Lonchura striata: one gene and its partners. The protein of the gene in region 3 purifies or fractionates together with the protein of the main gene of each other region. This does not show direct contact. Links are inferred from orthologs where the notes say so. Each region holds a gene or a part of one and is shown on either strand. Other genes may lie near its edges. The genes, in order: GATAD1, PHF12 and KDM5A.

Region 1 (9,804 bases), on a different chromosome or scaffold from region 3:
AATGGGTGAGCTCAGCTCCCTCAGCTGCAGGGCATCAAAGCCTGTCCCTACAGGATCCTTTGATATTCTTTCTGCTGTTGAGTCCATTTTGCTGGTCTTCATTTTGTCCTCCATTTTCCTAATATGAGAGAGATGAAGAATTTTCAGATATGTTGCTCTTGGAGGTCCCACTCTTCAGCTGTGTCCATCCATAAGAAGTTGTCTGGAGAGTCAATCATTCTCCCTGTGTTACTGGGTGATGTTCTGAACACAAGAAAAACAAGACAGTGCAACCATTCAAATACCTAAAAATGAAGTTTAACACTTTAGTAACAGTCACTGCCTGCAGATCCAGTCTCTTTTGAGACCTTACACTCAGAATTCTTGTTAATCTGAATTATTTTTTAACATTTCCTAGTATAATAAAAACTACACTAAAATAAAAGTATTTAGTGTTTACTAAAGGAAGTTGTTCTATAGCTCTCTGAAAAAAAATATTTTTGTCTGTTTAGACTGCAGTTGGAACCATAATACTTGAATTGACAGCAGCACTGAATTTTAGAAAGGTATATTCTGTAATTTTCCCTTTTATATTACAATTTATTGACAAATAAGGCAAATGGCAAAAAGTACTTTTCATTTGGTTTGAGTTCCTTGTAGGAACTCAAAAAATCAAAACCATGTAGAGCATTGTTACTCCTATGAGGATTTGACAATGAACTAAGCTTCATTGGACTCAATGACCATCAAGGCCTTTTCCAACCCTGGTAATTCATATAAGGTAAGACAGCCCACAGAAGAAGACAGGTCCATGGATTATGCTGAGGCAGCACAGGGATTTTAGAGTGATCCCAAGTGAAAACCTTGTGGACTGCAGTGAAAGGAAGTCAAAGATTTGAGTCAAGGGAGTCACTCTGGTTACTGTAAATATAGGACTTGTTATTTTTATTTTCTTGTAATTGTTAATAAAGAAATAAGAAGAAAAAACCCAGAGAAACTGAAAGGAGAGAATGGAGAGAAGTGATGTCAACTTGGGATTAATCAATGCAACACACGGAACATAGGCACACATCTCATCTTTCTAAGCTACTGAAGACTAAGATTTAACTCTGTATTACCGATCTACTGCTAATTCCTGAGCATTTTGAATTATTGACAGTATCCCTTAATTTTAGCATCTACTCCCCTAAGGCTGATTGTTCTTCCTTGTATTTGAAGAGGGCAGAACAGAGGCTGCAGGCTGAAACAAATCTGTCTGGTTCCTGCCCTCACAGGTCCCACTGTATTAAAAGTTGTCAATACCTGAGACTTTCAAATGTTACATGTTAAATCAAAGCCTTTCATAAAGTTAGAATATAAGCCTAGTGCAACATTTTAATGCTTTCATACAATACCCTTGGAATTCAAACCATACAAGCACATCTCATTGTGTTTGGAGCTGAATGGCTTGTAAAAAGTTTAGGGCAGAAAACTTCGTTGGTATTTTAGTATGTGGCATTGCTCCCATTCTGCTGTTTATACACATTCCTTGTCATGCTGAGACTGTCAATACATAAAATTAATTAATTTTTATTTCCCTTACTGATTTTTCATTTTAATTGCCTGACTTTTTTTTTTCTTACCATCACTAATTGTGAAGACTGAAAAAACAATTTAAAATCTAAAGCTAACAAGCAAACAAATATTAACAGTCTGAAACTCAAATCATGTGTCAGTGTTGGCTTGCTCAGGAAATGCAAATACACTTCTGCCATAAGGATGCCAGGATGGCAAATAACATTAATTTTTGAATTTGCATCAAATTTTCCAGGAAATTTATGCCCTTATATAAGTAAGTTTAGCAGAAAGCTACACACATAGGCCAATTACAGATTCAGATCAACAAAATTCCATAAAAGGTGACTGTTAGCGTCCCTCTTTACGGATGAGGTTTCAGTCTGCAGAAATCCAGGAAGATCACTTCTCTCCATGTAACAGAAAACTTAACTGCATCACTGACCATTTCAGGATTTAGGTGAAGCTAGTCTTAAATTATTTTACAAAAACCAGCAGTCACAGTTAACTAAATTAAACAGTTATATAAAATGCTGGATGATTGTATCTTTTAAACTCCTCTTCTGGAAAATAACTTAAAAAGTAAGAATGAATGCTACAGACATCAAAGATGACATGAAACTTCTGGTTTTGTCCCAAGATCAGCAATAATTTCTGAAGAGCAAAGCACTGAAATGATGCATCAACTGGAATGAAAATTTTCACTTCAAAGGTCTGATACATCTGAAAAAAATAAATACCATAATCCTTAAAAAAACCCGGCACATTTTATAATTTTAAAACTTTTTGTAAGGTGTTTACAAATTGGAGGATACAAACAAAAGAACTAGTCCAAAGTATTCCTTGAAAACTATAAATTATTGGCTACAGTTTCTTTAATGGAGATTGCAGGAGTAGGTCCCACATGAGTCCATATATAGCCTTTCTCTGGCCTTGTAGGAACAGTAGGGAAGGGAGATGATCGAGATTTGAAATATTCTGAAGGTGCATGACAAACAAATTCTAAATATTCCATTTTCCTTGGGAGATCTTCTTCTGGTCCTAGAAAAAAAATTCAAAGACATAACTTGGAGACATAAAACTAAGTATGTTGAATAAAAATATGCCACAACAGCCAACATTCCCTTACAGAGCTTGCCCTTGCAATCCATGACTTTCCTCCTGTTTTAGGCAATAAACCTCTACCTTTAATTTTGCTGGGCTGATCTTCCCCCCCATCCCATTTGAAGCATTCTGGTATTTGAGTGGACTATTGTAGTTAACATATTTAAAATACATTCTATTTGTGTTCTGCCTGTTAGAGGGACTTTTCTGAATTCCTTATTTTATCATCAATAGCAGAACAGTCTCTATGCTGGTGCTATGTATTTTGAATACCCAGGATAAAGATCAAGTAATTCAGGTCACTTTAAAATAAGCAACTTGGACTAGTATATCAGAATCAAAGTTACTATGGTTTAAACATAGTAGTAATAGTTTAATCAATAGTAATAACAGTAATAATAATAATAAATAATAGTAATAATAGTAATCAATAATTTGATCCTTAAAGATGCACAACTGTAATTCTACCCACAAACACTCAGATAATCACACACTACAATAGTGGTAATCATATTATATACACAAGATAAATAAAAAGTCTTATTACAGTAAATGAGATGTTTACAAGATTAGAGTCTAAAATGTGGAACTTGCATAAAATACCTTGAGAAGCTAAAATGCTGATTTAAAAAATACAACTCTGCATTAGCATAGGCACATCCAAGTAGTTGCATGACGTGAAGGCTTACAGATTACCTATGATGTAGGATGCTGGGTCAAAACAGTCTTTGGGGCTGGCTTGGGTAGGAATGAGCCAGGTTAGTGCAGCACTCTTTTCACAGTATTGGTCCTGAATAAACCCACGGATCTGAGCGTAGTATGTTCTTCCATCCTGCTCATCAACCACTGAAACAACATCTCCAATTTGGTAGTATACACCCTAGAAGACATACAAATGGCACTGAAATCAAACAACCTGATTTTTGTCAGCTTCACATCCTGATTCATGTATTAAGTAGCAGTACTCTAAATTATCCTAATTTATTCCACTCTTGAAAGGCAGCTTCAATTTAGCCACATGCTAAAGAATGGTAGCACAAGAAAGAAAGGTGGTTATTTTCAAAACATATAAAAAGAACACAAACAATCCCAAACAAACTTATTCACAACAACACTGCAAAGTATCAAAGTAGCAATGTTCTACATAATGAGAACAGAAATTTTGACATAGTTCTTAGGAATTTCTGATAAAAACAGACACACATGACAGTAATTCTTTTCTGAACTGGTCAAAAGCAAACGAGATTCATCTGGAATGCCAGGCATGAAACATCAGGTCCCTGGAGAGTATATGGAATCTCACACCACCACTGGCTGTGTAGTCTCCCACTGCCTATTCTGACTTTTTTGGAGAGGAAGAGGGTGAAAAAACATTCTGTTTGCTTATACTGCTGGGAAACAAAAGCAAATTTGAGTGCTTTAGAATACCAACACCTTGGCATGCTGGTAAAGCTGCTCTCAAGCATGAAGGTGAGAAGGCTCCTTCTTGCTTCACTGCAAGTGCCAACAGATCTTGTTCCCAGGGTGTCTGAGACTGCTTGCACCAGCTCTCAAATGGGAGCCAGCTGAGATACTGGGGCACTGCAACCCCACCTCTATGCGAAATATATTCTGCACCTAAGACAGCAAATATCAAACAAATCTAAATAATCGTCTCTAGTCACCTGACCTCTGCACAGTGCAAGTTAAGTTTAAAAATGCTGACAGCAATAATTACAAAAAAAAAAAAAAAAAAAAAAAAAGTACTTTTGCTTGGAAGAGAAAAACCTGGGAAAATGGCAACTATTTAAACTTAGGTAGACTACCTTGCAAGACTTAATGGCAATAACTATGGCAAACCAAAATCCTACACAACTGTTAGGCAAGGAAGAACAGTTTCTGTGATTATATCTCTAGTGCTTTCACTGTCCATGATAATTCCTAACATTGGAAACAGAAACAGGATAATAATTTTTGCAAATAGATTTGCATAAACCATACCTTATAAAAGATTGATTCTGCTGTAATTATAGTGGATACGGACTCAGGAGCCTTGATTGGCTAAGAAAAGAATACAGAAACAGAAAATCAAAAGCATTAAAACAAATAAACCATAAAGTTCCAGAAATGGATTTTTCTTTTAGATAACATACAGATACATAAGAAAACTAGCAAACACTTCTACTTTAAAGCTCAAAGCAACAGAGCTGACGTTTCCCTCTCCAGGATTTATGTGGAGAAGCGAGTGCTGAACTCCCTGACCGGTTTCTCTTCCCGCTGCTCCCGCGGGCTCCATGTCCAGCCCAGCCTGGGGCAGGCTCCCGACCCACCCGCGGCCCCGCCTTACGTTTTTTAGTTTGAAGATGTGCCGCCTGCCCTTGCCCTTCGTGGAAACCTTCTTCTCCGCGGCGGGCGCAGACTTGTACTTGGTGTTCCTGAGCCGAGCGGAGCGGCGGTGGATCTCCTGCTTGCTCTGCGGGGAACAGCGGGATGAACACAAGGGGGACGGCCCGAGCACCCCGGCCGCAGCCCCGCCCGGCCCCGCCCGGCCCCGCCGGCTCCGCCACCGTCGCCCTCGGCCTCCTGACCTGCTTGCCGCCGCCGCCGCCGCCGCCGCCGTTGTTGCTGTGCTGGGCGGCGGCCGCCGAGGTGGTGGCGAAGGCGGCGGGGGGCGGCGGCGCCGAGCGGGCCGTGCAGTTGTTGCACAGGATCTCGCCCTGCCCGCCCTTCTTCCACATGGAAGAGGACGTGCTGCGGCACACGCTGCAGGTGGGCTTCAGCCCCAGCGGCATGCTGAGGCCGGCGCGGGGCCCGCGGGCCCGACAGCGAGCGGCGGGAGCGCGGCGCCGGCCGCTTCCCGGCGGCGGCGGATGTGGCGCGGCGGGCCGGGAGCGGCGGGCCGGGAGCGGCGGGGCCGGGCCTGCCCTCTGCTGGCGGCGGCGAGCCCGGCCCGGGACGGGCGGGGCCCGGCCCCTCAGGGGCTGCTCCCGCCTCGGCCGGGGCCGCGGCGCGGAGAGCGCTGGCCTGTCGGTGCCGGCGGGGTCGGAGGCGGGCACGGGCGGCCCCGATGGTGCAGCTGGGGCTGGTCAGCCTGGAGAAGGTCGTGTGGAGACCTCGCAGCACCTTCGGCGTCTGAAGGGAACGTCCGGGGGAGGCAGAGGGACTCTGTCAGGAACAGCAGTGGCAGAACAGCACAGGGGAGAATGGGTACAAATTGAAAGACGGAGCATTTAGATTAGATATTAGGAAGAAATTCTCTACTGTGCATGTGGTGACATACTGAAACGGGTTGTCCAGGGAGGCTGTGAATGCCTCAACCATGGCAGTGTTCAAAACTGTGCTGGGTAAGACCTTTGCTGTGCAAGACCTGGTGTCGTGGGAGGTGTCCCTGCTCATGGCAGGGGGGCTGCCACTAGATGATCTTTAAGGTAGCTTCCAACCCTTAACATTGTGCTGCAGAAGCCACCTCTGATGCTGTTGCTGTTTGCAGGGGATGCCAGGTGCTGTCATTCAAGGATTTACAGCTGTCACTCTTCTGGCTCAACAGAAAATCAGGGAACTGGAGATGGACTGCAATGATTGTCCTGATTCAGAAGAAAGTGTTGGTGAATGTTAACCTCAACATATGCCAGTTTTTGCCTTCATTTAGATTAAATATTTTGAAAAAATCCTCTGCTTGTAAGGTGGTGAGGCACTGGAACAGGCTGCCCAGAGAAGTTGTGGATGCCCCATCCCTGGAAATGTTCAAAATCAGGTTGGGTGGGGCTCTGAACAACCTGCGCTAATGGAAGGTGACCCTGCCCATGGCATGGGTGGTTAAAACTAGATGATCTTCAAAGTCCCCTTCAAACACAAACCACTCTATGATTCTATGCCCCTCTTGCATGAAGCCTCAGTTACGTATCAAGTAGTTTAAAAGGCTGGGGAATGAACATGTGCCTTTGTGAAGCTTTGAGAACCAAATGTAGTAGGAACCATGGATCTAATAGTGGTTCCTCACCTACTGCCACTCACGTGGCCATGGGCCATCCCTTGTAGAAGTTTTTCTAGTCAGATATTATGAAAGAAATGCCCAGTCATGCATGAGGATTTGCAGTCTTTTAATTCCCATATTCAGTTTATTTAAAGCTTCTTTGGTGCAAATGAAATTGATTTTTGTCTTGTCCTCAGTGGACACAAAGAGCCATAATTTGCAGGAATCTATTAATACATGTTCCCCTCATGCAGCATGCAGTGGATGCAGGGTGTGCCTGTGTTGCTACTGGCTCACAGACAGCTACGTTTAACCTCTTGCATGCCTCTTTCACACCAAGTTTGACTTTCTTGTCTCAGGCACCAAATTTTTATTCCTCAATTTTGATTTAAATCTTCATTTGCCCTCATCTCTTTTCAAGCTGTTTATACTTACCGGGTGCTTTTTTTTTTATTTTTTTTTTTATTTGTTTTCTGTTTCTTTAATGCATCTCTCTGTAGTTGTATTTTGCAGATCAGTGATCTCTCAGAACCCTTAAGTTCTTCCCACTTTTTTTTTGTAGCGTCTGCCTGCTTTTGTTCCCAACCACCCACCTCAGGAGTCTGGGCCCCTCTGACTGCCATCATGTTGGCAGAGCTTCACTAGTCTGTGTAGAAATGGGCTGGAAATGAGTGACAATGTCCATTTCTGTCGAGGTAAGTATCCAATACTTTGTGAAAGTTTTTGTGAGTTTATTATAATATTTATTGTTAATGGAGAGCAAATAAAAATTGCAATAGTTGTTTTTTTCTGCTCCAGTTCTACCATCTTCCTGACTCCAGACTGCTAACCCCTTGATCTTTATGAAATCATGTGCAGGGTCTTTTCTGTCACAAATATAGAATATGTGTGGTTTACATATATGTGAATACTCTTAATATGCTACTGTATATTGTTGATAAATTACCCACTGTGATTATTCTTTCTGCTTTTAAATAATAACTTGAATTTAAAAAATCCAAATGAATAAAGCTTAATCTTTAAGAAACGTAATCTGCGGTGGTAGTTTAAGATAATTAAAAACTGGTTTAGACAACCATTTTTATGTTGTCAGAAAGTTTTAGTTTACTATTTCTTGACAAGTGTGGTTCTGTCAGTTCAATAGAACCACAGTAAAACAACACCTTGAGATTACAGTGTTCTTGGTATGATTATTCTGTTGGCCTTGTGCAAAATCAGAGGCAGGGATTGCTGTCAGTGCAGTTTGTTCATCCCTACCTCACCTGGAAGGTGACACAAAGAACAGTGGTTATGATGTTTTGTCAGAAATTACACCCAGCATGTCAGCTATCTTGGGCAACAGCTGAAATGTTCTGAGAGTTGCTGAATACCTGGTAGTTATGGGTAGGAGAGGTGGGGCTCAGGACTTTACTTAAGTACCTTCTTCTCCAGAGGATCCCAAGCCTTACAACGTCAATCCCAAATTCTGAGCATCCTCTTCAGTTTCCTGATTCTCCTTAACAGAACTAGCCTCTCTTTGGAGCTGGAGTGGGCTGACTCTGTCTGAGGCCTGACTGGAAGTGCCTGATGCAGCTGAGGCATTTTGTGCTGTGTAAGCTCAGCTAAAGTTGCAGAGTAAAAGTTCTCTTCCAGTTAATGTGTATTTTCAGTTTATTTTTCCCGCAGTAAAAGAAAGGGCTGCCCTTGGGAGTCATCAGAGCCCGTCCCTGCTCTGTGAAATTTCCAATGTAGACTCGACAAAGAAGTGGAGGAAATAAAATGTTGGTTCCACCTATGGATGGGGACTGTGGCAGGCACACTGGCTGTCAGTAGAACTCTTTCTCCCCAGGAGCTTTCAGTGAGAATGGTTTTTATTGGAAGTGATGCAAATCCGTACATACTGCTCATTTCCTGCTTCAGTAGTTGAATTGTTCTGCAGTGGATTTAATTGCATTGCTTCCTCCTAGCTTCTTACTGCTATCCTACAGTCAGCTGGCTCACAGCTGAAGAATCCTTTATTCTTATGTGTGTGTCACTGTTCCACAGTCAGCTGCAGAGGATGCACATGGACTGCTTCTCCAGAAATATTTGTGTTGTAAATGCATGAAACTGGGTATAAATCTGATGGATTGGTGCACTCTGGATTTCCACATGGTTATGTTCTAAGGTTCTGTACTTAACAGCTTTCTTTTGAGAAAAGCAGTTTTTATTCCCTTAATTCCCTGGGCCACAACTGATGTTAATCTTGAGATGTGTTACACAGTTATTACTCGCATAAGTAACATGCATCTGTCTTTGCAGCTTTTGGGTCTTAATTACTCATTCAAGCTTGTACTAGAGCCAGGAATTCACCTGGATTTTGTGAGGTTTTTGGGTTTTGGCCCTCGTGAGGGACATGGGTAGGTAAAGCAATGACAGAGATGACATAAAATGATCATGAGTATTTGGTTCTTTCAAGGCATGTTGAAGCTGTCTCCTGAGCCAGACAATTGCTTGTAAAGAAACTGGCTATTACTGTGTCCATGTTTTGGCTTCTCACCACCCTCCCTGACTATTACAGTGGGATGCCTTCTGTGAGGGTGCTGAGGCACTGGAACAGGTTGCCCAGAGAAGTTGGGAATGCTCCATCCCTGGAAGCGTTCAAGGCCGGGTTGGATAGAGCTCTGAGCAGCTTGGTCTAGTGAAAGGTGTCCTTGTTCATGGAAGGGGGATTGGATCAAAATGATCTTCAAGGTCCCTTCCAACCCAAACCAGTCTGTGATTCCATGATCTTGGCATGCTTAGTGGAGGAAGTTGATGATGTAACTGTAACAATGAACAAAATAGTTTAGTGCTACTAATGTAACAGAGGCACTCTGGAATTTCCAGAGTGGATATTAAGTGGCACTTAAGTAACACTAATTAACAGAATCTTTCACAAAAATTAGCCCCCCCTCTTTAGCACCACTACTCATAGTGACAAGGCATCACTCTACAAAGAACAAGTGCACAATATGTCTGTAGCAATTAAGACAAATTCTATTGTATATTTTTTTCAAAGCTTAGTGATGGTCCCCTGTATTTACGTATCAAAACATTCAGCTTACTACATGGTGTCCAACTAATCTGGCATAGTACTGAACATACCCTAAAAATGTCTGTCAGCAGTCTCAAGGATATCCTACATTAAGTCTAAGATGAAATGAGACAGAACGGAATTAGTTTAAGTAATAAATGTTTAATCAAAGAATTTTACA
Region 2 (9,804 bases), on a different chromosome or scaffold from region 3:
TCCTGCTACTCCTTGCAGCAGGAGATGCCTCAGACCATTCTAAGATTCACCTGGAACACCTGAGGCAGGCCCAAGATGACCATTAATGGAAGGATTAACTGAGACAACAGACTGGCCATTGTTTTTCTCCACTCACAGATGGCATATTCATGTAAAAATCCAAAGCTGGAACAAGTCAACAGGGCATTTTAGGCCGAATAAGGTGAGGAAAGAGTTATTGATGCCCTACCAGCCAAACACAACTTTTTTCCATTCTTTGTTCGAAGCACTTAAAACAAGGTGACTCATAGAAAATACCAAAATGCTAGTTTAGCTTCCTCTGCTGCACTTTGCAGCTCTGTTACTCCTGTTCTTTGACACCAGCACTTGGGTGAAGACTGCCAAATCGGAGGGGAAATGAGCCAAACACTGCAAATATAAACACAAGGAGGTGCTGCAAAAAGTTTGATGGAGGTAGCAGGCCCTGGTACGGACAGAACACACTTCTCCCAGCACAGCAGTGAGGAAGCCCAGCTACAAGGAAACGTTTTGCTGAGCCGTGCCACAAAACTGGCACTGTCATTTACGTAACTGGTGAGCTTTAAGGGACTGAGGTCACTCTGCCATGCCAGCAGAGCTGCACAGCCAGCGGCATGAGATTTTTACAAGAGGGACTTGAACCGCAGCATTCAGCGAGGTTTGTGCTTTTGGGCTCCTCCAACCAGAAACTCAGGCAGGGAGACTTTTTAAAAAAACAAAAAGAGGGAGAAAAAAAAAAAAACAAACACAAAACTGTTCTGTGTTGGTTCTCCCTCCTGTTGTCACTCCCCTCCCCCAGCTTGTTAACTAAACTTTTCCTCTCCCGGGGATCTTTCTAATCCTTCGTAATGAATTTGCAACATCAGTCACTTTGCAAACCCACTTCAATGTGAATCAAGTTTACTACAAGCTCAAGAAAACATAGGGAATTCTAACAATCACATTGCCAGAAGGAGGATATAAATGGGAAAGAATAGAAGTAGCACTGGAAAATTGGTTTTCAATCATGTAAAGAAGGAGTATGCACCATTCCTGGGGGCCTGGGCTAAGGCAGAACATCAGGATGGAAATGCACTCTGCACTGTTACCCAAAGCAGCAGATTGTGGGCAAATAGCAGAACAAGACAACAACTTCAGAGCTAAAAATCCCATGTCCTGTTTTCAAGAATTCCTAGGGACCCAAAAAACCTTCCTCTGTAAATTCAAACTTGAAGAGAGTCACCTGACTGTGATATTAATCCAAGTATGTTGAAACTAAGTATCTGGCAGGGATTTCACACTTTCCTGTATCCCTCCCACCAAGCCAGTTTATCTCCAGCCAGGCTGGAGTCCTCTGGCTTCTCAGAGCACCCATAGCAGCTTTCCTGAACTAGTGACTCCAAAATGGAGTTGTGGGAAAAACTGACACCCCAACAGATGAATTGGGAAGTCACTTCCACCCACGTCAATTCAGGAGAGCAGTCGTTCCACAGTGTACCAACAACACTTGTTATTTACCATCTCAGATGTGTAATACTATCAGACTCCAAACGTTTCCGGAGTTTTGGCCTCTGCCTTCTGTTTTCCACAGAGGACAACGGGTTCAAGTGCTAAACTGAAGTTAAGGCAAACTGCTGAAGTTTGAGGGTCACACACCTAGCAAAGCCAACTTACTCACTATAGCCTTAAACATCTTGATACAGAAGAACCTTCTCTACACAGGAAGGAGCAACACAAGTTCCTGCGAAGCTGAGCTGGGTTTGTCTCCAGCTGACTGCATGACTTGAGCCAATCATACCCCTGAAAATCCTTTTCTTTTGTAATATGGCCTCTCCCAGACAGTTGAAATCAACTGCTCATATACCCTAGACCAATTAAAAGCTACTTTTTTTTGTTGTGCTATACTGATAATAAATTCAACTTGGTACTAAAGCTCACAATAAATATTCAGAGAACAGGTAAGTTGTTGACACGAATCAGTTAAGAGTGCTCCAGCAGGGCTATTCAAGTGACTTAAACCGAGCCTTCCAGTACAGCTACTATTCTTTAAATAAAAAAAAAAAAGGAGGCAGAAAGGAAGTTGCAAGAGCTGCCTTTCTTTATGCCTAAGTTTATATCCAGAATGGAAGTTTACTTTCAGCAAAGTGTAGGAGGTAATAGGAAGACACATGAAAACAAAACCTGAGCATTCCTTTGAGACAACCTAGGTCACCTGAAGGCCATAGCCAAGGGTCCAACAAAGGTTCAGGAGGAGGGAGGCAGAACCAGACCCAAGCTGGAGGCCTTTAGACAAAGCCTTTCCACACTGTGCCACCTCCCACAGCAGGGTCTGGGCTACTGTCAAAGGGATTGCTTGAGAAACCCCAGAAGAGGCAACAAATGGAGTGAAAGAGAGTATTTAGAATTGCTCTTTCACTTCTGTTCTGAAGAGTGACTAGTTAGCCAAAGATATATATATGTATTTTTTATACAATATTTTTATATAAATTCTTATACAATTATAATGCAACTAGCTCAGGTACAGTGAAAGCTTTTCAGGTATCTGATTTACCTGGTTGTTCCCTACTCACTAACTACAAAAACAACGCCAACTTAAGCCATGAAATTTAGGCAAAAAGTGGTGTCATTTATGGTCAGACTTAGCTAGGATTCAGAGTTAACTCTGCAGCCTTAGGCACAGCTCTTCCATCCCAAAATGGGAAGTTTCAGCCTCGCTAGGAGAACGCTCAGGACGCGTTTGGCTGCATCCAAAAACAACTACGCCCGGCAGAAGGAAAAAACCACCCTTAAATTAAAACTCATCAAGGACACTGGATGAAAAATAATGATAATTACTATCCTGCTAGGAAATATTAGAGGATCTGCACTACCACCAGTAGCACTTCCTCAGGGTAGGAGGGATGATGTCATGGCTGCATGCTACAGCATTGTCGGCTTTGCCTGGCTACATGCTGCTAACGGGACACTCCCTACAGGACTGTGACCGCACACTCAGCTTCCCTGCTATCAGCAACCAGTTTAGTAAGTGTTCTGAGACCCTCAATTAGCATAGAAATACAGAATAGCCAGCAAGCAAATGGAAATCAGAAAAAAAAAGCAAGGAAAAAAAAAAACAACAGAGAGAGGAAAAAAAGCGCAGAGGAGACAGCTGTAACAGGGTGGCAAACAAAGCTCCAAAGCATGAAAGAGAGAAAGGAATGTGGTTAAAAAATCTCCCCTAAGGAAGAATACTCTGTACTCCCAAGCTCCAGCTGTTTGACTTGCCCCGCTCCCTCCTCCACTCCATTATCCTCTCTGGCAGTGCTAATTTAACACAAACCGCCCGCCTCTGTCAACTGTTGAAAGGGGGGATTTCAGGATGCATCCAAGCTCCGGGTGCAGAAAAAGGAAAAACTTTGGGGCGGAAAGTTGAGGCGCTTTTGGCGTGGTGTCGCTTTGTGCGGGGAGAGCTTGGGAAGCTGTGAGGGAAGGCAGCAAGAGCCCATCCTGCTGCAGCCTCCAGCACCTCGAGCTCTGCCACCGCTTCCACACGCACCTCGATTCCCAGCCGGCAGCCAGATCTGCATGCAGAAAGCTCTGCCTTCATCAACAAAGCCACACAACTCCCAGCAAGAGCACCCGGCAGCCCCCCAGTTCACGGCAGACACCCCCACGGAGCAGGCAAGCAGGTCGGAAGAGCAAGGAGGAAGAGAAAAAAGGAGGGAAAGGAATAAACCCGGCCAACGTTAAAGCCTGGAGGCCTGGATTTCCACGGGGAAGGTATTTTCACGTTTGAGATACTGTGGGGAGTGTTGCGAGGGTTTGGAAGTCATATATGCAGCCAAAATGGCGCTGAGAATAAAAATATAATTTAAAGGAAGGTCGCCATATTGTAAACAGTGAGGCAGGGAGACACAGAGACAGCAACCTCCATTATTCCCAGCAGCTGCAGCAGCACGGAAGCGCTGGGAACGTCAGGCCTGGTGCGGAGACGCCACCAGGGTTTCCCCCTCTCCAGCTAGAGCCCTCCGGAGGGTCTCCCACAAGCCAGGCACCCTTGGAGAGGGGGGAGTGGGGAAGGTTCCCGCTGGGGAGGGCGGAAGGCCGGGCAGGGGCAGCAGCAAGGCAGCCAGGCCGCGCAGCCAGCGGCCTCGCTCCTCCTCCAGGCCTCTCGCCCGCTGCTCAGCACAAAAAGAAAGGAGGAGGGTGGACCCCCAACCCTCCAGAAAGCAGCCAGAGGAGGGTTCAGCTCGGCCGCCGTGGGTTAAGTCTGAGGAGGGATGGACCGAAGCGGGGTTTGCACCTCCTTTTTGTTCCTGTCTGCTCCAGCCGGCCCCACGTCCCCCCCCTCCCCGGGACCTAACGGGAAGCGGGAGCGGCCGGAGGGAAGGTGCTCTGGGCAGATCCGGAGGGAGAGAGCGCCAAGCCTTACCAGCACTGGAGGTGGAAAGCGGCGGGGCAGTGATCGCAGCACAGCAGATCCCCTCCTTCCTTGCAGCTATCGCAGCTATCGTGGTTAGTGGCCCTGCCACTTCGCCTGGGCTCCTTCTCGGGCCTCCTGCTCTTCTTCTCCCCATCTTCGCTCTTGGGGGGAGCCAGGAGGGCCTGGATTTGCTGCACATGCACACACAGACAGAGCGGGCTCTGAGGGGCTGCACGGACGCTGACCCAGCGCCCTTCTCCCCGAGCCCACCGGGGGGACAGCGACCCCGGGCCCTCCGGGAGGGGATCGCGGGGGGGACAGAGCCCCGGCCGGGCCCGCCCCGCCCGCCCAGTGTCCGGCAGGGCCTCTCCAGGGGCAGGGCGAGCTGCCTCCGTCCCTCCGCACTTCCTTCTAAGGCCACGGGGCTCCGGGCTGGGGGGGTTCCCTCGCCATCTGCCCCCCCGGCCCGGCTCCCCCCGCCGCGTCCCGGGCCTCACCTCCATCAGCCCCCCGGAGGTGTCCAGGTCGTAGACGATCGTCTTGGTCTCCATCTTCTCCCACATTCATCCAGCCCAGGAGCGGCCCCGAGAGCCCCCCCCGGGCGAGAGGGAGCGAGGCGGGGACGTGCGGCGGCCCCTCAGCGGCGGCTCCGCGTCGAGTCGGCGGCGGGGGGGGGGGGGGCGCGGCGCGGCGGGGGCGGGCGGGCGGCGGGGCCTATCCCACGGGCCGCTGCGGCTTGCGCGTCGCCCTCCTCCTCCTCCAGCCGTGCCCGGGGGCGGCCACGGGGGGCCCGACGCCCGCTGCCATTGCCGCGCAGGGGGTGGGTGTGTGAGGGAGGGAGGGGGCGGCGGCCCGGCGCCCGCCGCGGCCGCTCGCGCACCGCGCACGCCCCGCGCACAGGCGGCGCCGACGCTCCGGGCCCCGCGCGCACGCGCACTCCGCGCCCCCGCCCCGCCCGCCCCGCGCGCGCCTGCGCGCTCCGCTCCGCCTCCCGCGCGCGGACCTGGCGCGGCGGCGGCGGCGGCGGCGGCGGGGGGGCGGCGGGACGCACGCGCAGTGGCTCCGCCTCCCCGCGCGGCTCCGCCCCTCCCCGCCCCTTCCCCGCCCCCTTCTCGCGCAGGCGCGTGGCGGCCGTCACGTTCCAGCGAGTGGGCGGGGCCACCGGGGACGTCAGTGACGTAACGGCGCGGGGCGGGGCGGCGGGGCACGCGCCCGTCGGCAGGGGGCGCGCGGCGCGCGGCCTCTCTCGTGACGTCACCCCGGCAGAGACCACGCCTCTTAAAGCGGCAGTGCTCCCCTCCCGGAGCGCACCGGATAGGGGGCGTGGGGGTCGCGGTGTCATGGGGGTCGGGATGAGGTGGGCTCAGGGCCCACGCTGGGGTGGGGTGGGGGGGGTATGTGTGGGTGTATCCCCGTTCCAAGCTGCCCGGCCCCGCTGAAGAAGACGCCATCGCTTCTTCTAAAACACCATTTTTTATTAATGAAACAACCAAAAGATGGGGAGGGGGGCGGCGTCCCCTCCAGACCGAGGGGGCGGCGGGGGCCGGGGCCACCAGCCCGGGCGGGACGCGGCGGTGGGAGGCGGCACAGCCATGCCCGGTGTCCCTGCCCGCCCCGTCACTCCGGGTGCCGGGACGCGCCTTGGGGACACGCTGGTGGCGGAAGGGACCCCCCCGGTGAGGGCGAAGCAAGCGGGGGCCGGGGGGACACGCAGCATGCTGGGGACACGGGAGGGACACGTCCCTGCGTGGCGGCGCTGGGAGACACAGGGTCGTGGGGAGACCAGCCCTGTGTGCTGGGTGGGGGGCGGGGGGACACCCACATGGCCACCCAAGCCCCTCGGCCACCCCCGGGGCTTTGTCCCCTGCTCGCTGCAGCTCCGGGGAGCCCTGTCCTTACCTGTGGGTCCCCAGAGCGCCGCTCCCCCTGCCCGTGTCACTCCTCCGCCGCACGGACTGTGGGGCTGCTGCTTTCCCCCTGCGGGGTCTGGGGGAAGGATGGAGCCCGAAGGGCAGGGCAGGGTCCGGGGACCCCCGCTGGCTCAGGGGGCAGGATGGGATCCGGGGACCCCCGCTGGCTCAGGGGGCAGGATGGGATCCGGGGACCCCCGCTGGCTCAGGGGGCAGGATGGGGTCCGGGGACCCCCGCTGGCTCAGGGGGCAGGATGGGGTCCGGGGACCCCCGCTGGCTCAGCCTCTCACGAGCCCAGTGCGGGGGGCTGGGTGACAGTGGGGCTCGGGCAGATCCCACGGGGGTCTGGGTGAATTGGGGGTGGCAGGGGGGTGGCCGGTGCCCAGGTGGGTCCTGCCAAGCGCTCGGCTTGAGTCTCCTTGGGAGAGGTGTTCCCAGCCCGTGCCGGGGGCCGGTGGGCACGGGGGGGCCCGGGAGGGGTGGCTGCAGCGCCCAGCTCCACGCTGCCCACACCTAGATGGACACCTCATATTCCCTCGTGTCCTGCAAAGAAAACAGACTGCAAGGGGCTGGACACTCGGCAGTGCAACGGGGTGCCTGGGACAGGGATTGGGCATCTCCCATCCCGTAGAGACCTGGGGGCACATCCCAGACTACGACAGCCCTGGGGATGCATGTCCCATCCCATCCATGGGTCCTGGATCAGCGTCCATCCTGTACATGGTCCTTGGATGGATATCCCAGATAGTGTGTGTGATCCCTGGATGGTTGTCTGAACCAATGTGTGGTGCCTAGATGGATATCCCACCCCACATGTGGTCCCTGGGTTGATGTCCTGTCCTGTGTGTGGTCCCCAACTGGATGTCCATCCTGATATACATCATCCCATGGGTGGTCTCTGGGTGCATGTCCCATCCCCTGTGTTGTTCCTGGATGCGTCTCCTAAATAATGTGTGGTTCCTGGAACACATGACCCCATCCCACACCCGTCCCAGCCCATGCACAGCCCCTGGCACAGGTGGCCCATGCAGTGCAGGGTCCCCAGGGTGCCCAGCCCCAGACGGGGGGCGTGGAGGCCAGTACTTACTCCTGTCTCATAGGTGGGATTGTCAAAAGCCGACTCCACGGTGATATGGTCATAGGGGTGGGAGCCAGCAAGGGGCAGCTGCAGAGCCGGCTTCCCCTGGAGCCTGTGGGGAAAGGGCAGCTGGGGTGGGTAGTGGGGGGCCATGGGGCCGCATGGGGTGACAGGGGCCAGCGGGCCACTCACTTGGAGAAGTAGAGGTAAATGCCCCCGATGAGCAGGGCCACCACCAGCACGGGCAGGAAGACAGCGATGGCAACGTTGGTGCCCTCCAGCGTTGTCCCCGAGGGCACGGCCTTGGCCACAGCTGTCCGAAAGGGACATTTGGGGGCTCACCCAGGGGACACCCCACATCGGCCGCACCCTGGGTGCCCCTCCACGCTCTGGCACCCCAAAACACCCTCGCCCTTACCATCCAGGTTGCGGTTGCTGTAAAACTCATCGTAGGAGGCTGGAGGAGGCGGGAGAAAGAAACCAACACCAGGGGTGAGAAGTGGGGTGCTGAGCGGTGCCGGCGGGGTGCCGGGGTGGGGGGTGGTGGTCTCACCCGCCTTGCAGATGGGAGGGGAGCCGCTCCAGCGGGAGGGGTGTCCGGGCAGGCAGCGCAGGCTGCTCTCGCCCAGCAGCGCCCGGCCGGCGGTGCAGGAGAAGCGCAGGGTGGCTCCCGCCGGGTACAGCCGCCGCTCCGGGCTCTGCCGCCCGCCCGCCGGCACGCCGGGGTTGTGGCAGGGCTCGTAGGTCTCCGCTGCGAGGCAGGGGTACGGCGGCGTCAGCGCTCGACCTCGGCTCGGGGGATATGCCCGAGGAGGGGACACGCAACTCACGGATGCACTTGGGGAGGCGGTCGCTCCACTTGGGTCCCCCCGCAGCGCGGTCATGGCAGGTGAGGGTCCCAGCGCCCGCCAGGACGTAGCCCTTGTCACAGACGTACTGCACGGTGGCTCCCACCGGGAATTTAGGGTTGGAGACCACCCTGCGGCTGTGCTCAGCATCCCCAGGGTCCCGGCAGGTTGTCACTGCAGGCAGGAGTGACCGGTGGTGACAGCAGCTGGGGATGCGCTGCAGGGCAGGGGGTCACTGGTGGGCACCACTCACCCCGCTCGCAGGAGGGCAGGTCACCGCTCCACGTCAGGTCCCAGTGACACATCAGGAGGTCCGTGCCAGTCAGCTGGAAGCCGGGGTAGCAATGGAATGTAACCACAGTGCCATGGAGGAGCTCTGGCTGTGAGGACGTCTTCCAGCCATTTGCAATGTCTGGCAGCTCAGGGCAGGTGTCATTACGGGGAACCTCTGTGGGCATGGAAGGCTGAGCAGGGCAGTGGGGACACTGGGGACACCAGGGGTGTTGTCCCACCACGGGCCTCACCGGAGAAGTGGATGACAAAGCCCTGCCTATAGGCAAAGGCACCGGCACCGGGGTCGGACTGGAACTGGACGGTGACATCGGCAGTGGATGCGTAGAGCTTGAAGCGGCCACGGGCGCCCGTGTACTGGCCCAGGATGCGCGCCGTCAGGTCGTCCCCGTCGTAGAAGGTCAGCATGTCCCCCGAGCCCAGCCGCAGCCTGGGGCAGTGGGGCCGTGAGGGCAGGGAGTACACAGATCCACCATCCCACCATCCCCATCCCGGCCCATCCCAGCACTCACACGCGGACGTCCAGCATGATGCGCTTGTCCTCCTCCACGTGCAGCCCCCAGATGCAGTCCTGGCCCTTGCCGTATGCCTCTGGCCAGTTGGGTGACAGCACCACTCCAGCCGTGTCCGTCAGCTCCCCGCTGCACACCGCTGTGGGCACACACCGGGTTTGGCACCGCCACGGGGCACCTGCCACAGCACCCGCATCCCGCACCCACCATGTCCCTCAGCTCCATCACACTCAACAGCACGGTGGCTGCAGTATCTCTCATGCCCCTTACACAGCAACCCCCAGCACCTTCTAGCACCAGCACCCACCACGGCACGCTGGTTCTGTCTCGTTCCACTGTGGGTCACTGGGGTCGACGCACTCGATGATAGTGGAGCCCTGCTCCAGCGTGTAGCCAGGGTCGCAGCTGAACTCCACCGTGGTGCCCACGGGGTACCGGGGATCACTGGTCGTGAAGTTCCCATACTTGACGAAGGGCTCATAGCAATGCCCTTGCTCGAAGGCTGCGGGCACAGGGGCAAAGGTCTGCAGGAGCCAGGTGGGCACAGGGATGTTTGGGTCACCCGCTACACCCTTGGCCCCATACCCTCATAGCGCAGCGCCATGCCCGCAGCGGCCCCGCTGCTGTCAGTGGTGAGCTCCACGAAGAAGTGGCGCCCGGTGCTGAGCAGCCCCTCGATGGGCAGGTACTCCACCTCGTAGGAGTCATACACCGGCGGTGCCTCCACGTTGTTGCCGTTGCGGATGATGAGCCTGACAAGGCATG
Region 3 (9,804 bases):
CACAAGGTCATGTTACAACTTCCAGCACTATTCTGTCACAGATAACTACAAGGGTGGTTCTAACTTTGTTGGCACAGCTGGAGCTTCTAACAGCAGTGACCCCATGTCCCAGTTTCACAGAGAGTAACACAACACCCTGTGTGCCTTTTGGGTACCCTCTTCCTAGCGTGAAAGATGAGCATCTCACCATGAGGCTGACCCCGGACTGGAAGAGCTCATAGGGATACAGGATCCGCTCATAATGAGACTTGAGCAATGACCCCGTGCCTTTCCCTGGCAGGTAGCCAAGCCGACTCGCCACTTTAGACCATTTCTTCTCTTTGGTCACTACTTCAAAGCCTCCTTTGTTGGCAACAATCTGAAATAAATAAAAAGTTAAGGGTTTTGAGCTGCTCTCACCACCTTGTGTAAAGCAAGAATCAATTAAACCAACCAAATGTTAAAAGGTTCCATGAAAAGTGACAGAATCCTGAAATTAGCTTTTGTTTCCTGAAAGACTAATCCTTTAATAACAAAGCACTTATTCTTATTGCTTCATATATGTAATGTGATTTTTAATTTGCTAGCAAACATAAATTGCATACTATCTGTAACAGAAGGGGTCCAACAGTTGAGGTTATCATGTGCTGGAAAAGATACAAAACCTACCATAAGAGCAAACTGAAAAGTTAACCCTCACCAGACTTGTACTCTGTTGTAAAACACAAGTCTGGCCAGCAATAAAGCCCATTTTAACAGACCCCAGGCAGAAAGGAGTGTTGGAGCTCAGAACTCTCACAAAACCTGGAAGAGAGACTACTATAAAGAGGGAAAAGTCAATTTACCTTCCAACTCAGTCCAGTTACTACACATGACTTCAATTGGTTTCAGACCAGTAATTCACATACAGAACTATCACTGCTTACATCTATATGTATATACAATTAAAAACAAAACCATTTTCCTGCAAGCAGTATAACAGCATATGAGTTGCTTCCTCCGACACACAGGCCACATTTCGACTGCCTCCATTCCTTTTACAGTTTGACTGCCAAGCAACTTAAAACACAAATGGATTATAATTCCATTTATATTATTTGTAAGACTAGTATCATTTTTACAGGAATATAAACTTTTGCATTGCATTTCTTTACACATGAAGACTAAATTTCAAGCTCAGTGTTTCATATACTGTTAGAAACCTCAAGGCAAAAACATTTGTTACTGGAGTTAAACTTATGGTTTGCTTGTGAGGCTGAAGTAAACTGAGAAGTCTAACTGTGATAGTGATAAGTAAATTTGTTAATTCTGGTTTCTCCCATAATCCCACAGCATTACACTTACATAAAACAATAATAATAATGATAATTATTTTTATTCATACTTACAGAAAAGCTCTAGAGAAACCTTTTAAAATAAACCTGTCCTAAACTTCAACTTATCTTTAAAATTTCCAGGAAAACTTGTTTTCTGAAATTATCTAAAGAAGCTAAAGAAGCCAGTAATGAACCAAATCAACTCAGAGCTGCCAATCTACAGCCAATTGAAATGTTCCAGCTCACTACAATGACCCAGATATTTTCCAGTATCTCTCTGATATTCTGCATATCCCACCATAGACACAATAGACACAAAAAGAAAAAAAAAAATACTAGAAGACATTTTATCAGCTTTTCTCTGCATTTTATTAGCCCCTCTAGACTTTCCAAAACACTTGACTTTCTTTAAAACAAAAATATACTCATTTACATTTTTACTTACCTAAGAGAAATAAATCTTGATTGGGGATGGAAACTGATGCACTAACCTAGAAGCACTAGAACTACCAGAACTTCGGTCTTTTCCCTGCAAGAAGAAATCTACCTATTTATATTTATTAGCAGCTAAGTCTATAATGGTACATACATTTTGCCAGTGCAAAACAAAATTCCAACAGAGACTTGTGCATAAACTTTGAAAGAAATTTGGTGCGTTCACCAAACATAACTATGGAAACATTCATTTCTAGCCAGCCTTAAGCCAAGTCTGTTTTGGAAATTAAATAAGTATTCCTTGAGCTGACATTATATATTTTCAGAGACACGTGTTTATAAAAACCTCTACTGGAAGAGAAGAAGGAGAAATTGCAATAAATCATTACAGAATTGTTGATCAGAGCTGAAATGAACACAAGCATACTGCTGCCTTCCCAAACAACACCTCAAACTCCTGCAGCTCTACCACATGTAAGAATGGAGAACTAGAAATCAAGAGGCCAGCTGAAATCAGAACACTCAAGCTATACAAGCTAATAAATACCTGGTGTATGGAACCCAACCAATCCAACCAAAGGTAACTAATTTAATTACACTGCGAGAGGTCTGCCATAAATATTCAAATTAGAAATGTTTTTTTCATTTAATTTTTCCCACTTATTTAATCTCTGAGTTAATAAGATTAGTGCTGTAACACAAGTCATTCCTCTTGCTTGGCTTCTTGAGCTTGAATGAAAACTAAAATCCCTGTCTGCCTAAGGTCTACAAATACTTACCTTGCTCAGACCATACAGATCCAGTATTTTTCTCTCAACCACAGGGATTTTTAAATTGGATCCTTGGAGTTCCCAAAATTTTGCTAACTGATCCAGGAAGTCCAGTTTCACTCTTGTCATTGCCTGGAATCAGTAAAGGTAGACAATCACGTATGTTCAAAACCAAATGTGGCAAAATCTTACAGTCCTGAGAGAAAACAAGGTAAGTTTTTATAGTGTTTCCATTTTCAACATGGAACTTGCCTGGGAGGTATTTCTTTATCAGGTAAAAAAACCCCTAAAAATATAAATTTTGTTTAAAAAAACACTTCACAAAAAGAAAATTACATATGCTTTTCTCTCTGCATTTAAGACACTATAAATTAAATTCCTACCAAATAATTTCTTGGCCTGAAAGCAAAATGCATGCTTATGAAATGATCATCATTCCAAGCAGAAACACAAGAAAAATTATTGTGACCCCCGCCAACAGTCACATTTGACTGCATTTGACCTGAGGCTGTGGAGAAGGCTTCCAAAATAGAATGATAAAACTAAGATTATGGGTGTGTAGTTTGAATAGAAGTGTGTAATATCACATGGTAGAAAACTTAGAGCTTTAAGTTTTAGAACACAGTAATTAATATAAAGCAAGAGAGAGGTTTTTAGTCCCTCTTTACCTTCTTCTCCATGGGTTTGGGTGGTATAATGTAATCAGATAAAAAAGTCCACATTGTGGGCCACAGGTGGTTAGTTATTAGGTTAAAAGTAAAAATAATTTGTGTCATTTCTTAATTAGAGATTAAAAGGCCTTGTAGAGAGAGAGATATAGCTCCATGTTTTTAGTGTGTTAGAGTGAAGTGCTGTAGAACTCATGGCTTGTGAGACGGTAACATAGATAAGAACTAATAAACACCTCAGTCCAAACAAGAAATAGCATCTCAAGCTTTAATCCCAACCATGGCAAAAAGAAGTGGTGTCCTGTGTGAACAAGACAATTATCTGTGGGGAGGAGGGGAATTACCAAGTTTTTGTATGTGCCAGTTTTTATATATTCCTTATCCACACAAAGGGTCTCTTCTCTGAAGTATTTCTGGAGTACCCAAATCACTTTCCATAAGGAGACCCATTTACAAGCCAAATGACATTTTGGTAGGTGAACAAAGCAAGGCTTTGAGAGATGTTGCAGAGATAAGGAAAAATCAGGACAGAATGGAGGTCATACTGCTCACTTAAGTTTTAAAATCATAACATTATCAGCTATAATAAACCTATAAAAATAATTTTAAGGATTAAAAGGCATTATTATGACAGTATGAGGTAACCAGAGGTATCAGAGCAGCAGGAAATATTTTAAGAGGAAAAAATCATTGCCTGTGGAGCTCTGAAGGCTAGATACTGGCTGCTCTTACTAAACACATGATATTTGGAATTCATTCTAGACACTATCAGGTGAATGAGAAAAACTCCTGTGGTTATTTTGGGGGAATAAAATAAAAAACAGAATTTTCTCAAAGCGAGGGAGGGTTATTTTATACAAACTTTGCCACTGCCAAGTATAAACACTGATGTGGTCTACAGGCTTCTGAAGTGTCCCCCATCCAGAAACCTGGCAAGCTGCAAATCTCAGGCAGGAAGACCTCTTTCTTTCAGTGCAAGCACAAAATTATATCAACAGTGAAAAAGCTCACCTCCAGTTCATTCAGGCGCTGAATTCGTGGAGTGAAACGAAAACTTTGTACTTCACATGCAAATGGAGGCTGCCAGTCCTAAGCAGAGACAGAAAGACATTTTACTGCTTCCAGAAACTTCTCTGAAAAATGCACAAAACCAAACACCCTAATAATGCCTCAGTAAACAAGCTTCCAATAGTAAATTAGTTTCTCAGAACAACCGGTGATATAATTTTCCAATTTTAAGATATTTTCTGCTTATACAACAATGTTCCTCCCACCACATTTTAGTTTGAATAAAGATCCTCACAGATTCAAAAATGTCAAAGAAAATAAGGTTCAAAGCATCTCAGTATGCATTACCTCATGCTATGCTTAAACATGAAATACACTCTTTAGCTGATCGGTTATTTATTTACTTTAAACAAAGAATCCATATATCCTGCACACTGAAAAATCCTCAGTGTCAACAGCAACAAAGGCTAAACCAGGCATATCATAACATATCTAAAGGTTTTCTGCTTGTCTACAGTCATTTCAATAAAGACAAGACCACAAGTTGTGAGCCCAATTCTTTAACAGAAATGGAGCCATACATAATGATTTTCTCAGCAACATCAGGGGTCCTTGCAACTACAAGTGCCTCCCACTCCCATTTCTCAAACCCTGTTACATCAAAACAAGAAAATCAGCTTTTTAGCACTTTTTACCAAAGCTTTAGTTACAGCAGAGCATCCACCTGGCAGTGGCTACACCAGAAGAAGGACACGCCATTACAGGTGGACAAGCCACATAATCTGCTGCAGCATGTAAAGGCCTTGAGCACAGCCTTAAATATTTACAACTTCTAATAATAGAAAATAGCAATTAATCAGTCAGGGTAGTATGAAATGTCTGATTTAGCAATTATTGCAGACTATAAATCAACCCAACACGTGCATCCTGTGAAACCCTGAAAGGCAAGCAGCTCAGCAGTCTCAGAGAAACGCAAATGCATCCAACAGCCAGAGAAGTTTCAGTTATCCTCAATGAACAGGATCTGGATCTGTTCCTTGTGGGCTCTCAAACTGAGCTATGCAGCTTATTTTAGAAAGGGCAGCCCCTTGGAGGTCAAGTTTTCACCATGTCACTAAACTAACTAAACACATTCCAGGAACCAAAACAGGTCAGGAGAGAACCAGGAAATCCAATCAGCAACCCCCATATCTACACTGTTCTCAGTTACACACTTTCTTTTCAGGTTTTTACCTCTCTCACTGTTTTCAAGTCTCTTATTAACAGCTGCATTTGAAGTGTATTTGTACTCTAATAACTCACTGATGTAAGTGCCTTTTGCCAAGCTGCCTGAAGCTCTCCCTGTGATGACCCGCCTGGTCACTAGGCAGGTGACCTGTAACTCCCAAGCCATCGGAGAGATTAAGCGGATACCTCCCGAACAGCTGTGAACAAACGTAATGCCCGCACACCAACAGGTTGGCCACCCTCCTCTTAACGGTCTAAAAATTGTGTTTATGAACAATGATACAAAACGAACAAATACCCTTCCCTCTCCCTCTTTCCCACCCGGAGCAAACGCCCGATTTCACCTACAAAGCCTTCCCAGCTTTCACAAGTCGACTGCTGGCGTTTTGGAAATAAAAATAGCACGAAGTCCCGGGCACCACCACGCACTATTCGCTTCTCAGCTGCTCCAAAGCAGCCTCTACAAAGCCCCGCTCGGAGGTCAAAGATTCTACAGGTTCCTCGGCGTCCCTGGCACGGACACCGCGGCCTAAGGAAAGCGACACACGAAACCCCGAGTGTGTGCGGAGAGGGGGGGACTGGCCTGTCCAGCTCCTCACGTCCTCCACCCGGCCACCGAGGGCCCGGCCGCTCTCGGACCACCCGGGGATCCGGCAGGCGCAGCCGCCAAGGCGGGCGGTACCTTGGGGGGCCGGATCTTGCAGATGCCGGTTTTCTCGGCCAGGCCGCGGATGCGGCCTATGAAGCCGAGTGGGTCGCTGAACTCCTCCCAGCTGGGCTCGAATACGGGGCACTCGGGCGGCGGCACGAACTCGGCCGCATAGCGCGACCCGCCGCCCCCCGCCATGGCCGCAGGGGGAGGGGGGCGCCGCCGCCGCCGGGAGCGCAGGGCGGAGAGGGATGGCCGGGGGCTCAGGGGCTGGGCCGGGGACCGAGGCGCATCCCCTGGCGGCGCTGCCGGGCGGGGCGGCGGAATGTGCTGCCAAGCGCTGCTGCCGCTGTCCCGGCCGGGACCGCTGCCCCCGCCCGAGCCCCGCTCCTCGCCTCCCAGCCCGCCGGAAGTGACGTCCCTTCTACGGCCTCCCGGAAGCTCTCGCACGTTGCCTTCCGATCCAAAAAGTAGTTCCTCCGCAGCGCTTCCTCTGCCGAGGTGGCTTCCTCGCTTTCAGCTCCCGGACAAGCCCCCGCGACAGAGCTCAGGGCAAACCGCCCCGCCCGCCGCCTCTCAGGGCACTGCGCCGCGACAGGAGGGACCGGGGGCCGGGGAGGGCGGGGCCACCCCACTTCCGCCGCGGAGGAATGTGTGACGAAGTGCGAGCCATTCTCTTCCGGTTCCGCGGGGCCGCGTCGCCCATTGTCTGTGCCGGACGTCAGGAGCGCCGCTGGAGGCCCCGCCCCTCCCGAGCCCCGCCCCTCACGGGCCCCGCCCCCTCATGGGGGCCGCCCTCTCACGGGCCCCGCCCCGAGCTCGCCCCCGGCAGCGGCGGTGACGGAGGGAGGTGTCGGAATGGGGAGGGAGGCGCAAGTGTCACAGAGTCCGGCTGCCTGCCCTGCACAGCACATCCCCAGTCACACCGTGTGCCCGAGAGCGGTGTCCAAATGCTCCTCGAGCTCTGGCAGGCTGGTGCTGTGCCACTGCCCTGGGGAGCTGTTCCAGTGCCCAGACACCCTCTGGGGGAAAAACCTTTTTGTAATATCCAACCTAAACCTGCCCTGGCACAGCTCCAGGCCGTTCCCTCGGCTCCTGTCAATGAGAGATCTGTATCTTTTACCTATCTGTTGCAACACGGTCTTCCAAAGTATGTTTTTTTGTGTTCAACCAAAACTGTGCCTTCGCTATCTACCAAATGCCACATTTCACTCTATTCTTACTGATTATTCAAACCTCCGTGCTGGTGTTCTGTTTCAGCCTCAGAAAAAGTTTATATCCTGAGCTGGAAGGGACCAACCAACAACGGTCATCAGGGCCAGTCCGTAACAGCAGCCTATCTTCTGGACTTTGCCAAGAGAAATTATCTACCCTGCTATTTTCTCTATTTCATGAGAAAATTGATTTGAAGAAGAATCACAGAGTTCTTCTCTCTGGAAGGGACCCACAAGTATCATCAAGTTCAACTCCTGGCCCTGCATAGGACACTCCAAGAGTCACCATGTGCCTGAGAGCGTTGTCTAAATGCTCCTCGAGCTCTGGCAGGCTGGTGCTGTGCCCACTGCCCTGTGGAGCTGTTCCAGTGCCCAGCCACCCTCTGGGAGAAAAACCTATTTGTAATATCCAACCTAAACCTGCCCTGGCACAGCTCCAGGCCATTCCTTTGGCTCCTGTCAATGGTCACCAAAAAGAGATAAATGCCTGTCCCTCCTCTTCCCCTCACAAGGAAGTTGCAAATTGTGATGAGGAAGAACCTTGTGGTTTCTTAAATAAGCTTTTTTTTTTTCCCTTGTCATATAGAAAGTCCATGTCTTTTAAACAAAGTTATTGTAAAATGCAAGTGAACCCAGTGGGAAGAAATGATGATGTCCGACTCTAGTTCAGAAGGCTGAATGATTTCTTTATTATAACTGCTATAATACATTAATATACTATATAAGTAAAACTACAAACCTACTTGTTCTAACTACCATATCTAACTCACTCACAAACTGTGACCCTGTTCTTGAGAGTTCAGATGCAGGTGGATTGGATTGGCCATCAGGCTCAAACAATCCTCACCAGAATCCAATCAAGGAATCATTTCAGGTAAACAATTCTCCAAGCACATTCCACAAAAAACAAGGAGCAGAAATAGAAATTGTTTTCTCTTTCTTCCTTCTGTGCACCTCTATGATAAATCCTGAGACGGAGAAGAATGTCCCTGTGACACAAAGTCTTAAGGAAAAAAGAACCCTAGCTTATTGCTGAGCAATTTTTTTTTCTCCAGCACACTTAATAAATTAGGAAATCGTTTGGTGCATAAATGGCAACACTACTACTAGGTACTACCGGGAATACATGAGGAGGATGAGGAGGCTAAAAGGCAGCAGGATGACCTAAAGAACACACTCAATTCAGTCAGAATTTGTGCCAGTAACTTCTTGTGGCTGCTTCCGAATGCCAGGTCATTTTCAAAGGAAAAGGGGCGTTTTTGCCAGAGCGGATAAAGGTTGCTGTTATTTTGCCCGCAGCCCGACCCGCTGCTGTCACAAGCGCGGCTCCATAAGCACAGGCCCCCGCTCCTCGCAGGCCCTGTGCCCACCCCAGAACTACAACTCCCAGACGCGCCGGCGCGGAACCGCTGACGCCCGCGACGCGAGCGCTGATTGGTGCAGGCTCCCGGCGCCGCATGGAAGCCTGTCTGTGATTGGAGGAGGCCGCGGGGCGGGCTGTGGCGCCGTTTAAGCCGCGGCGGGGCCGGTGTGGCGGTTGCTCGGCCGTTGGGGCCGTGCGGAGGCGGTGGCGGTGGCGGAGGCGGGACCCCATCCCCGGACCTCTATCTCGGGGCTCTTCCATCGGGGATCCCGCCGGGCACCCCCCTCGCCCGCCTACCGGGGTGCCCAAAGCCGCTGTCCCCCACCCCTGAAGGGCCCGGCTCTCCGCAGGGGCACGATGAGCGCAGCGGACCGCGCTGCGGGGAGCCCGCGCTGCGCAAGGTAGTGAGTGTGGGGCTGCTGCCGCCGGGACAGGCGGCTCCCGGAGCCTTTCCTCCCCGCCTGCTAGCCTGGCTGGCCCTGGGGCACCTTTAGGTCTGCCCTGTGCCTGCTGTGCGTCCTTCTTCCATCTTTCAGTGTCTGCCGCTCTTGAGCAGTAAAGCGCTCACCTTGTGCCTGGGTTGCCTCTTTCTTTCTAGTGTTGTTTCTCTAAGTGCACTGTTTAAGGAGTTTCTAGTCCTACAGCAAGTTATGGCAGGCAATACTTATACTTTTGCATATTTAATGGTTTCTTACAGTGCCCAGGGTTTTTATGGATGTGCACTGGGGGTCTGATCCAAACAGGTTCAGTGAGTGGCTCCATAAAGGTCACCATTGCCTTAGTGTCACCTACCAAATCACTTTTTCATCAAAATTCCTGATTCTCCACGACCAGATTCTGAACTGTGTTCTTGCTAAGCACCTCTGTAGTCAAGAGGCTTCTTAGCTTCTGTTGTTCATAGTATCATTTACCAAAAAAAAAAAAAGTTTGTCATATCAATATAAATAATGGAAAGAATCCTTTCTAATGTTTATTTTTTTTTTTACTCTGCAGCTCTATTTACAAATTTGCTGCTTATTTGAACAGATTAAATGTTTGAATGTTCTAAATATTGTTTTGAGGAAAAATAGAGTATGTAATTATACATGTCCTTGATTTGATTTATATAGCATTGACTTGCTTTCCATGTAGCACTTCAACATAAGATTCAAGAACTTGGCAGCTTCTATTTCTGT

Evidence for each region.
Region 1: the proteins of KDM5A (region 3) and GATAD1 purify together in Homo sapiens (affinity purification with mass spectrometry; 6 studies listed by BioGRID and IntAct, with this or other methods). This does not show direct contact. The link is inferred for Lonchura striata from reciprocal best matches to the Homo sapiens genes KDM5A and GATAD1.
Region 2: the proteins of KDM5A (region 3) and PHF12 purify together in Homo sapiens (affinity purification with mass spectrometry; 3 studies listed by BioGRID and IntAct, with this or other methods). This does not show direct contact. The link is inferred for Lonchura striata from reciprocal best matches to the Homo sapiens genes KDM5A and PHF12.

The regions. Positions count from the first base shown.
Region 1 is NC_134603.1:133,633,078-133,642,881, forward strand, and holds GATAD1 (GATA zinc finger domain-containing protein 1), read right to left. Parts: upstream 5,472-9,804; 5' UTR 5,409-5,471; coding exon 5,209-5,408; coding exon of another isoform or gene 5,205-5,208; intron 5,175-5,204; coding exon 4,964-5,174; intron 4,678-4,963; coding exon 4,618-4,677; intron 3,518-4,617; coding exon 3,334-3,517; intron 2,575-3,333; coding exon 2,384-2,574; 3' UTR 898-2,383; downstream 1-897. UniProt on the Homo sapiens protein: Component of some chromatin complex recruited to chromatin sites methylated 'Lys-4' of histone H3 (H3K4me), with a preference for trimethylated form (H3K4me3).
Region 2 is NC_134622.1:7,573,995-7,583,798, forward strand, and holds the start of PHF12 (PHD finger protein 12), read right to left. Parts: upstream 5,072-9,804; 5' UTR 4,963-5,071; coding exon 4,897-4,962; intron 4,591-4,896; coding exon 4,409-4,590; intron 1-4,408. Other genes in the region: SEZ6 (seizure protein 6 homolog), read right to left, coding at 6,837-6,869, 7,398-7,500, 7,581-7,701, 7,807-7,845, 7,942-8,139, 8,219-8,410, 8,490-8,684, 8,761-8,957 and 3 more.
Region 3 is NC_134607.1:11,874,113-11,883,916, forward strand, and holds the start of KDM5A (lysine-specific demethylase 5A), read right to left. Parts: upstream 6,316-9,804; 5' UTR 6,251-6,315; coding exon 6,086-6,250; intron 5,693-6,085; exon of another isoform or gene 4,258-5,692; coding exon 4,180-4,257; intron 2,697-4,179; exon of another isoform or gene 2,633-2,696; coding exon 2,510-2,632; intron 359-2,509; coding exon 188-358; intron 1-187. Other genes in the region: CCDC77 (coiled-coil domain-containing protein 77), read left to right, coding at 8,987-9,030. UniProt on the Homo sapiens protein: Histone demethylase that specifically demethylates 'Lys-4' of histone H3, thereby playing a central role in histone code. Does not demethylate histone H3 'Lys-9', H3 'Lys-27', H3 'Lys-36', H3 'Lys-79' or H4 'Lys-20'.